3 linked regions of the Mus musculus genome follow. The protein of the gene in region 1 interacts with the protein of each later gene in a biochemical or structural test. Links are inferred from orthologs where the notes say so. Each region holds a gene or a part of one and is shown in the gene's direction. Other genes may lie near its edges.

Evidence for each region.
Region 2: the proteins of Btk (region 1) and Ibtk form a complex in vitro, tested with the Homo sapiens proteins (2 studies listed by BioGRID). The link is inferred for Mus musculus from reciprocal best matches to the Homo sapiens genes BTK and IBTK.
Region 3: the proteins of Btk (region 1) and Sh3bp5 form a complex in vitro, tested with the Homo sapiens proteins (2 studies listed by BioGRID, with this or other methods). The link is inferred for Mus musculus from reciprocal best matches to the Homo sapiens genes BTK and SH3BP5.

Annotation. Positions count from the first base shown.
Region 1 is NC_000086.7:134,552,141-134,555,640, reverse strand, and holds part of Btk (tyrosine-protein kinase BTK), read left to right. Parts: intron 1-37; coding exon 38-92; intron 93-872; coding exon 873-952; intron 953-1,114; coding exon 1,115-1,242; intron 1,243-3,500. UniProt on the Homo sapiens protein: Non-receptor tyrosine kinase indispensable for B lymphocyte development, differentiation and signaling. Binding of antigen to the B-cell antigen receptor (BCR) triggers signaling that ultimately leads to B-cell activation.
Region 2 is NC_000075.6:85,721,725-85,725,448, reverse strand, and holds part of Ibtk (inhibitor of Bruton tyrosine kinase), read left to right. Parts: intron 1-1,224; coding exon 1,225-1,402; intron 1,403-2,996; coding exon 2,997-3,174; intron 3,175-3,724. UniProt on the Homo sapiens protein: Acts as an inhibitor of BTK tyrosine kinase activity, thereby playing a role in B-cell development. Down-regulates BTK kinase activity, leading to interference with BTK-mediated calcium mobilization and NF-kappa-B-driven transcription.
Region 3 is NC_000080.6:31,433,144-31,436,943, reverse strand, and holds the start of Sh3bp5 (SH3 domain-binding protein 5), read left to right. Parts: upstream 1-843; 5' UTR 844-986; coding exon 987-1,133; exon of another isoform or gene 1,134-1,745; intron 1,746-2,798; coding exon 2,799-2,861; intron 2,862-3,800. UniProt on the Homo sapiens protein: Functions as a guanine nucleotide exchange factor (GEF) with specificity for RAB11A and RAB25. Inhibits the auto- and transphosphorylation activity of BTK. Plays a negative regulatory role in BTK-related cytoplasmic signaling in B-cells.

The DNA of each region.
Region 1 (3,500 bases):
CTGGCCTAGAAGCCAACCAAGCACTCTCTCTTTACAGGTGGTATTCCAAGCACATGACTCGAAGTCAAGCTGAGCAACTGCTAAAGCAAGAGGTGAGTTCAGGCCGCAAGCAAAATGCATTCTCAGTACACAATATGCAAAACCCAGAATTAGGTCCAACTTTAAACTGCACTCCCAGTTTGAGCTTTTGACGCATTAAAAGTGAAGAGGTTGCATCTCCAGCAGGGACCTTGAGCAGAAAGTCAGGGCTATTCTATTTTCTCTCTCCTGTGTTTGGCCAGGTAGGATGCAGACATAAACACTGTAGCAGTGAATTTGTTAAACTGCTCTGGCTCCTGGAGCCAGCTAATTTTGATATGCCTTGATATCGGTGATATCAATGATTGATAGTTCAATGGCTGGGCACTTCGAAACCTCCCCTCGGCTAGCACACACTTCCCTCAGGTATTCCTGGTTTAACATCTTCTAAATCTCTATTTTATCTTTGCTGCCCTATTACTTTCTGGGCACTGCCCCCCCACCCCCCACCCCCACCCCCGAGTATTCCCTTTCCACCTACATTGCTAGATGGTTTCTCTCCTGCAGCTCTTAAATCTGACCCCTCTGCCTCCGAGTCAGTGTGATTCTCCCCTTTCTCTCCCTCTTGCTCCCTTGCCCACTTAATCTAAAGGTCCCATCTCCTTGCCTTGCCGTTGGCTGTATGGCAGTTCTTTATTATCAATCAATATAATCAATATAATCCCAGCTTGGGGCAGGGATCCTCAGGTCTGGAAGTGCGGCTTTTAGGAGCCGAAATAAGACAAAAGCATTAGAACCAATTCCCAACAAAACACCATTTTCTTTTACAGTGAACTTCTTTTTTGTTGTTTCAGGGGAAAGAAGGAGGTTTCATTGTCAGAGACTCCAGCAAAGCTGGAAAATACACCGTGTCTGTGTTTGCTAAATCTACTGGGTACGTGTTATGGTTCCAGTGATATGGGGTTAAAGGTTAAGGGTGGCCTCCCAACACTTCCTCTTTCACTTTCTCAGCCTTAAACATAAAATTGCCTCACTTCATTGTCCAGGTCCTTCCGTATCTTGTTCCCAAGTTACTGACTGAATATAATTTCCTCAGGGAGCCTCAAGGGGTGATCCGCCATTACGTTGTGTGTTCCACGCCACAGAGCCAGTATTACCTGGCTGAGAAACACCTCTTCAGCACCATCCCTGAGCTCATTAACTACCATCAACACAACTCTGCAGGTGAGTGCCTGCAGGCAGCAGAGAAGGCTTGCAAACACCCAGGGAAGCAATTCAAAACAAGGAGAGAGAAAGTAGTCCCACCAAGCAGTGTGAATTAGTTATGAAAGTTAGTCCCTGTGACGCTGAACAAGGTTCGAGTCAAGATGTAGTCACACACACACACATTGACTTATTTATTTATTTTCTTTTTCTTTTTTCTTTTTTGTTTTTTCGAGACAGGGTTTCTCTGTGTAGCCCTGGCTGTCCTGGAACTCACTCTGTAGACCAGGCTGGCCTCGAACTCAGAAGTCCATCTGCCTCTGCCTCCCAAGTGCTGGGATCAAAGGCGTGCACCACCACACCCAGCTTATTTTTATTTTTTATTTTTATGTAGTGCCCCACCACGCCCAGCTTATTTTTATTTTTTTATTTTTATGTAGTGCCAGGGAATTTAACCCAACATTCTAGGCAAGTGTTCTACCATTGAGCAACTCTCTCAGTCCTGTTTGTTTTTACTTTTGTTTTCTTTTGGGTTTTCAAGACAGAGTTTCTCTATGGAGCCCTGGCTATCCTAGAACTCATTCTGTAAACCAGAGATCTGCCTGCCTTTGCCTCTGCCTCTGCCTTCCAGTGCTAGAATTAAAGCATGTGCCACCACATCTGGCTTTACTTGTTTTTAAAAAAATTTACAATTTTTTATTAATTCTTCATAAATGTCACATCATGTACCCCAATCTCACACATCTCCCCATCCCTTCAATATCCGCCCTCCACCCCTGCAACTTCCCTCCCAAAAGAAAGCAAAAAATAAAAATAGAAATGAAAGACAAACAAACAAAGAAGTAAAAACTCTGGCCCTGGAAGCAGCACACCCTTTCCCCTAATTGGCTTTACTTGCAAATGTTCACTGCAACGAGCCATTGGTCTGGTTCAAGGCCTCTAGCTTCTGCTACACTATCAATACTGGATCCTCACCAGGACTCCTTTTGGAAATCCTTTTTTTTTTTTTAAAGATTTATTTATTTATTATATGTAAGTACACTGTAGCTGTCCTCAGATACTCCAGAAGAACGCATCAGATTTCGTTATGGATGGTTGTGAGCCACCATGTGGTTGCTGGGATTTGAACTCAGGACCTTTGGAAGAGCAGTCGGTGCTCTTAACCACTAACCCACTAAGCCATCTCGCCAGCCCCAGAAATCCTATTTTTTTGCCCTTGGTCATGGAGATCCTGCAGCTTTGGGATCTGTAGGACTGGCCTCTCCACAGGCTCCATAGATGGGGTGGATGTTGGGGTGGGCCAACTCAGAGCCCTGGATCTGGGCCTGGGAAGCATCTGAGCTGGTCAGCCCACCCACTCTCTGGCACCTGCATCACCAGGGTCAGCTCTCCCACTTTTCCCAATCAAGGGGTGGGGCTGGCTCTCCTGTCTCACACCCTTGGGGCTGGCTCACCCATGCCCCCACCAACAGAGCCAACTCTACTGTGCTGCCCAGGCAATGGATGTGGGAAGGGACAGTTTACCTTTTATTTTTACGCAGGCTCTTACTATGTTGTTAAGACTGGCATGGAACTTACTCTGTAGGCCAGGCTATCCTTGAATTCCTGATTCTCCTGCCTCAGCTTCCTGAGCTGGGGTTACAGGCTTGTATAGTGGGACTGACAAGACTATTTCTCTTCCTCATCTGCCATTTATATTTATTATTTTAAAGTGTGTTTGTGTGCGTATGAGTGTTTGAGAGAGAGAGAGAGAGAGAGAGAGAGAGAGAGAAGAGAGAAGAGAGAAGAGAGAACAGGCGCCTATGGGGTCTAGAGGCATTGGATTTCCTGGAACTATGGTTATGTGGGTGCTGGGAACTGAACTCAGGTCCTCTATAAGAACAGTATGTGCTCTTAACCACTGAGCCACTTCTCCATCTGAGGACTAACTTCTTACTTGGTGCTAAGTGAAGATGCGATGATACAGTGACTAATGAGTCAGAGCATGTTCACTAGCAACTATTCAGTGTTCCTACCACGTACCCTTGCAATTCAGTGTTCCTACCACGTACCCTTGCAATTCATTCAGTTCTAGGAGGGAATAAACTTCTGAGTCAAGATGCTTTTTCCTGCTTATTTTTGATTCAATAAAGTTTTATTTTCCCCAAATGTACAGCTGATTGAACCTGTTCCTGCACCTTCACCAGCAGCTGGGGCATCTCCACCCCTTGTGTTTCTGGTGTAAATGGGCTCTGTGCTTTGAAACCAGCTTGAGCAGTCCTTTAGTAAGGAGCTCCAGA
Region 2 (3,724 bases), on another chromosome or scaffold:
CTCTTCCCTTCTCATGAAACACCGCACAGCCTTTACACAGTGGTGCTCCCTGTAGTCCTAGCTGGAGGCAGAGGCTGCGCTGTCTGCATAGTAGACTACATTGCATCTTGGGCTGCTTAGAAGACCCTGTTTCAACCTCACCCCTCAAAGATAAACAGACACAAGTTGTAATTGCAAAGCTCCGCCTGCTGGTGTGTTTCTAGGTACAAGTTGTAGGCATTATTTTCATAGGGAGAGCATGACTTTCTGTGTGAATGACTTTGGCAGGTGCTATTTTGTGCTTTACTTAATAAAAAAAATGGTTCTGAGGAGTCATACTTTTGGAAACCATCAGTTTTGACTGGGTATGATGGAACACTGCTTTAATCCCATAGTACGGGACACTGAGGCTGAACTCATGAATTCTCAGGCCAGCCTGGACTGTATAGAAAGTGCCTGTCTTAAAACAAGTGAACAGCCACAAGCAGTTTTAAGTTTAGAACATGACAGGTACCCAGGCAAAGGCTCTGTTGCTGTAGATGGAGCTGCACAGGGCAGCCCAGCACCCTCCCCTTACATCCTCTGTGCACCTTAGGAGTACTTCCTATCCCATTCCCAGGGCTGCTGGGAATCTTACACTGGGGCCTTTACTTAAGATTTTGTAGCCAGGCGTGGTGGTGCACGCCTTCAATCCCAACACTTGGGAGGCAGAGGCAGGCAGATTTTTGAGTTTGAGGCCATCCTGGTCTACAGAGTGAGTTCCAGGAGAGCCAGGGCTACACAGAGAAACCCTGTCTTGAAAAACAAAACAAAACAAAACAAAAAAACGACAACAACAAAAAGATTTTGTTTTGGTTATAATTAAGTATATCTTCTTGTTATTCTTGAGAGTAGGTTGGATTGATTTCGGTAATTATCTGACATTAAAGTATTGGCTCTAACATTTTAGTGTGCTACATTATTCCAGCAGGACTATATGCCCCAAGCAAGTTATGCAGGAAACGGCACCTCCTTCGGAGGAGTGCCACTGACATACATTTTAATTCGTGATGTGGCATAATCTACTTTCCTAAAAGGTGTATGTCCAACATCGTCTTGATTTTTGTAGCATCTCTCTTCTCTGTGGAGGAGTAGTCATGGAAACACACAAGCTCAGGCACTTACTCTGACAGTACTGTTTGATTCCGAGTGTGCTTGCTCTCTGCTGTGCGCTTTATGCTGTGCTGTGCTCTGCTTCCCTCACAGGTGTTTTGCTGGAGATCAATCAGCAGTTCTCTGAAGCAGTGCCGATGGGCCTATCCTCGCCAGGTGTCAATCTCCGATATTGCTTTAAATAGAAATGAAATTCTGTTTGTCACACAGGATGGGGAAGGATTTAAAGGGAAATGGTTTGAAGACAAAAGAAAGAATTCTGAAAAGAAAGGTCAGTTAGTATGACTGCCCTTAGTACCCTAGTCAGCTTTGGATGTGTTAGGTACTGCTCGGCTGACCTCTAAACTGTGTGTTTGCCTTTGTGCTTAGTTCAGTGCCTGTTTGCTACAGACTGTAAAGTCACTCATGGCACAAGGCATGGGTGTCCCTCTCTGTCATTAGCATTGAATGTACTCTCTGGCATTGTGGTCCTTCATTACGTCCTCTTGAGTCACTGAGCTACCTGTTAAATGCTTACAGCATATCTTAACATTTATGATTGCTCAGAGTTATAAATGCATCAAAATTATAAAACATAAAATGAAGAGTTTTGCATAATATTGGTTTCTTGTGTTTTATATTTTTATAGATGACTCAAGTCTATAAACATGCAAGGTGTATTGACTATGCAAAAATGTGGGACTCACAGCTTATAGAACCAAAAGATATTTTTACTTAAAGTTCCCTGAGGCAGATAACTATTATAAGTACACATGAGTTTCTTAAGAGCATTGGAGTTAGAATTACTGAGTGGTAGAGGAAGCATAGCGAAGTCCAGGAGCCTGAAATAGTCTACATTTGAGAGTGTAACCAGAGCATGGGTCTGTCTTGAAGGGTTTGACATCATTCTCTTAGTGGTCTGACACAGAATTTGCGATCTCAGGCTCCCTGAGCTGATTCTCAGTGTTTTCTGCCCTAGTGACTGGCTGTACTTTAAACTCCATACCGTCCCTTACTTTTAGCAGTTGCTATGTTGTGCTGCTCCTATCTTAATTTATTTTAAAGATTTATTCCCTTAATTTATGTATATGAGTACACTCTCGCTGTCTTCAGACATAACAGAAGAGGGCATCGGATCCCATTGTAGATGGTTTGGAGCTACCATGTGGTTGCTGGGAATTGAACTCAGGACCTCTGGAAGAGCAGTCAATGCTCTTCACCAGTGAGCCATCTCTCCAGCCCATCTTAATTTTTTTTTAAAAATCATTCCTTTTCCCTTCTCCTGGTTGATTGCAACAGTCCCAATCTAAACCATCTTTATTATTTCTGTTGACTTAATAGTCTTTGTGTATATTTTCTCATTTAAAATTTTTCTACTGTAGCCAGAAAATTTTTTTTATAGGTGCCATATCTACCTGGAACCATTTTATACTTTGTTTTATAGACTGAATTTGACTATTTATTAGTCATATTTTTATTGCATGTTCTCATTACTCTTCTTGAGGATAGGGACATTTTGCCCTGACTCAGTAGTAGCACAGTGTGGTCATTTGGGCTCCGTGCCTGCAGAGAATGGAGGGAGCGTGTGGTGACACTTGGGTTCATACAGGGTTAATATAGGTAGGCATGCCGTTCTGAAAGTTAACTTGGGCTGCAGTGTGGAAGGTGTGTTTGTCGGAAGAAGATATGGCTGATACTGAAAATTCTCTGTGTATGTAGTAAGTACACAGAGCGTAATGCTGTGTTGAAGATGGAGAGGTTCTAAATTCTTCAGAAGAACTTCATGTGTATGAAAGATACTTTTATGTTTTTAAATAATTTTTATTCCAGTTACTCTAATTTCATTGCAGCCTTGATTAATGATAGTTCGTTTATTTTCTTTTTAGCAGACATTTTACCAAACCTCCATCATTCCTCATCAGATGTGTCTTGTGTCCCTGATACAAATAGTGTGTATGAAAGAATTCGACTTGAGAAACTTCCTTTTGCCCATAGAGCTGTTAGTGTCAGCACAGATCCAAGTGGGTGCAACTTTGCAATCCTACAGTCAGACCCTAAAACAAGGTATAATTGTCTTTAATATATTCTATTTTTAGAAGGAATAATCATTAGACCTTCTTTTGTTTTCAGTAGCTCCTGATGCATATTCAATTGAGGAGCTGTTAGTAAGATCTGTAGAGACGTTCAGCAAATGAGTATGTTACAGGGCAATCACTGGGATAGTGTGTCTTCCCCTAGTGTGTACCTGAAAACACTGAAGATGGTGCATATGCCCACACAGCATCTGTCTTTAGCCCATGCTGTACTTGAGAGTCCCGGGCTCTGAAGGATGTAGTATAAATACTTTTTAGGTAGTGTGTAAAAGTTTCTGACTTTTGAATATGATAATTGACAAAAAAGAGGTGGTATGGTCACAGAAAATATATTAGGAGATATATTAGGGGAGAGAGAAGAGGAACATTAGTGGCATTGGTGGAGAGGGAGGAGGACCTGGAAGTGGGGTGACCATCCATTCTGGTTTGCCCAAGTCCGAGGCAGAGCGAGAGCAGTAATCACCTCCCTTGCTAGGGTGTTATATGGACGGACAGGGTGTGGTTACAAGTATGGAGCACTC
Region 3 (3,800 bases), on another chromosome or scaffold:
TGACCAGTTGAGAAAGAGGACAGATACCCCTTTGCTTTGCTTCTGAGGTGGGGGAAAAGGCAGGATCACAGGCTCCGAGAACAACTCTCTCAAGCAAAGCTGTCCTCCAAACTCCCTCTACAAAGTATCCACTTTGCTCAGGGCATCTGACCAGGTAGTCCCTGACCTCACAGTGGCCCTAGCACCTGTAAACGTTCAGAGAAACCTGTCCACTGTTAGCCCTTTTGTGATGCCCAGTTGGCTAGGCAAGCTCTAGCTTGGTGATGTTGGGCAGAACCACATAGTTCCTACACTGGGCAAGCTTTGCCACGAGCAAGCAGGGCAATCTCTTTAAAAAGCCGCCCGATCCATAGATTTCCCCCCCCGCCCCCCCCAGCTCCATGGGCTCTTCGTGCATTCAGAATATCCAGGAAAGCCCTAAGAGCTCATGCCTTCGCTTGCCGAGCTTTGCCCAGCAGACTCCAGGCTATGATGTCCACTCGGTGGCTGGACCTGGCTAGCCATCCTCTGTCTGCTGTACAGACAAGATTAGGGTAGAGTTCCCTTTTCTGTGACTCCAAATAGACACAAAGGTAGCTTTGAAGAATGGAAATCACCCGAACTTTCCTTCTGTGCCTTGATCTGCTTCACTGGAGGCAGGAGGAAACTACCTTAAGGCGGCCCACGCTCGGGCTGGTGAGCCACTGGGCGGCACCTCTCCTAGTGGCCATGGCCGGGACTCCAGTGCACTGGGCTTTTTGTGACAGAGTGTCGGGTGACACAGGCTATCACGGCGGCCTGGGCAAAGTGGGTGCGGTGTACTGCGGGCCGCTGCAGACAGGGGGCAGCCGCGCCCACTTCCTCTGCCACTCCGCACTCGCCGGCGGAGCACCCGGGGTGGCAGCGCTGCGCGCTCAGACCTACCCGGCTGCGGCGAGGTGGCCCTCGGTGCGTCCGGATCCCACCGTGCGCTTTGCGACCCGGCTGCGGCGCGTTCGGCTGCCCGCATGGACACGGCGCTGAAACGGAGCCGCTCTGACGAGCCGGCGGAGCTCCCGCCGCCTGCCCGGGAGGTGGAGGAGAAAGAGGAGGAGGAAGAGAGGATGGAACAGGGCCTGGAGGAGGAGGAGGAAGAGGTGGACCCCCGGATCCAGGTAGGACGCGTGACAGGAGCCCACAGCCGCACCCCACCAGGGCTACCGTGGAAGTCGGCATCTAACGCAGACACATGCCTTACAGCCTCGCGTGTTCGCGGTCGCGGGGTGGGGGCTGCCTAAATTCAGGATCTTCACCAAGGGTTGGAACACCCCATTTCACGGTCTCCCTGCGGAAGGCTTCGGTGCCCGCGTGAACGCGGCCTGATTATTGCGGGGATCCCTGCAGACCCTCGGCCCAACCCGAGGGTCCCTACTACACGACCAGCTGTTCAGGCGGATTGCAACAAAGGAAAAAGGGGGCGGGGGCCCCGAGCGGAGTCGGGGTACCTCAGCGCCACGCTTGGAGCACTGCACAGCCTCGGGGCTGCAGCGCAGCGTTATCCCACCTGCGTGGATGCAGACATCGTGGTGGGCGAGCAGGGCAAGGTGGCTGTCGCTTGCCCCTGTAGTGTGGGCTGCACCGGTGTGGGGTGCCTCGTGAGCCCTCACCTGGCCTGGGCTGCCGTCCTCTTCATTGTCAACACATGGTGGGCGTCGTTGCCGTTGCCACCGTTGGCACTGTGTTGCACTTGGCCTGAGACTGTTTAAAACCCTCCTTTTCCTTGTGAGGTCAGTGTGAACGTCCACCAGGGACAGCTGCTGCGCAAAGCCGACGCGTGGAGGCAGGGAAAGCAGAGAATGCCTGGCTTTCTGTGCCTCCATTTCCAGGAGAGAGAGTTAAAAAACAATTTCCAGGAGTGACAGCTTAACCTCTTCACCTTCCTAAGCACAAAGCAAATTCCTTTTCATGACCCGTTTTGTACCCTTTCCATAAATCATTTTTTAAAAAATAGCTATTAAACATACTTTGCAATTTCTGGATCCATAATTGGTTTTAAGTGCACAGATAAAGAAAAAAAAAGAGCCTGCTTTAAATTCATCAGTTTGGCTTAAATTAATTATTTTGTCAAGTCAATACACTAAAGATCAGTAAGAAAACCTCCTCATTGGTTATTCTGTTAATTCGGGCCCTGGGCTTGGATTACAGAATCTTGTGGATTTGGTGTGGAATTTTGTTAGCAAGACCTTTGTTCACAGAGCAAAGATGAGCTGAACGAGGATGAGTTAACTCATGTTGGCTACTTACAAAATGTCAGACTGCAAATGTTTAAAAGAGGTAGGGTTACAGTCAGTTAACCAACACCCCAGTTAGGCAGGGCAAATAGTTCGCAGTTAGAAAAAAAAAAAATCATCTCTTTATAGGGAGATAGCCCATGATGAGTTAATGCTGGAAGTCTGCCTTTGGCTGGGCTGCACTGGCCGTATTGTCCTGTTCTGATTTCCTCGAAAAGTTCTTTCCTAAAGCAAAGGGTGCTGTTTTGACTGGGTTAAGTTACTGTTTATGACAGATGAGTTCACCTGAAAGAAAAAAAAAAAGAACAATGACTTTTCAGAGAAAGATAAATCTGTAGGACTTTAAAGGCGTCCAAAAAAAAAAGGACACAGCCTACAACAGGTTTTAGGCTTTTGTCTTTTAGCCGAGCCTCAGCTGTCTTCTTGAGGAATGAACCGACTTGCATCATTCAGGGATGACCTTCCAGTTGTAAACTAAGTTACACTAAAAACAAAAGCCCAGCCCTTCTAATTTCTCTCTCTCTCTCTCTCTCTCTCTCTCTTCATTAGGGAGAACTGGAGAAGTTAAATCAATCCACGGATGATATCAACCGACGGGAGACTGAGCTTGAGGTACAGGGAGCTGGGGCACTGTTCTGGGGTGAAACAGTGTCAGTCACCTTTGACCCTGGGCTGGTTAATTTTGTTTTAATAGCTGGAGGGCGACTGCAGGAGGCCCTTGCTTGGAGGTTGAGCAACAGCATGTGTGGACAGTAAAATACACTCAGTCCAGGCTGTGGGCAGAGCCTGGATCCAATTTCATGTGCTGTTTTTCATTGTGGAGGCTCCATTGGGGCCAGAATCAAGGGCTGAGCAGAGTATTAAACAATGCTTTAGGCTCCAAATATTCTGGGATCTGTGGAAAGGCTAAAAGAATTTCGATTTAGCCAAACACTTTAATGGAGTTTACATCTCTCAGTATTTTATTTAGGGTGGCTCCTTCCATTCATGCTTGGAGCTGCTATGGTTCCCTCAGACTTAAGCCAGATATTTTACTTCCCATTCTAACAATTCACCTTTCTGATTCCCCCCTCATTTATTTACTGTCAGCGTGAGCAGAATGTAATGATCTTAATGGTAACAAAAAGCTGTTTAGGCTGGGAAGGGCTTTCCTGCTGGGAAAAATTTTGGAAGATAAGATCTTGATTTGAACTTGAGAATGTTTCAGCCTTCCTGTAAACAAGTTCGGGTTCTTAGAAGCCACCAATTTCTAAGTAGTGGTTGGGGTTACTTGCCAGTGGGAGCATACCCCTGTGAGTGACTGTCACAGCTAAGGGACTTCAGAGGGCTGCGGTAAGAACCTATTTCTTGAAGTAGAAAGAACAAGACGAGCCTAAGGAGAAAGCAGAGAACATCAGGCCCCTCAGAGCCAGGGTGTGGGGAAGAGGAAAATACTTCACTGGAAGTTCACTGGCAGCCTGCTTTCTGATAGCATATAGCCTTGAACTCACTGATCTGTGCGTGGCGGTGGGTACTAATGTTGCTCTGGGCTGTGTGAAGGCTTATCTATTA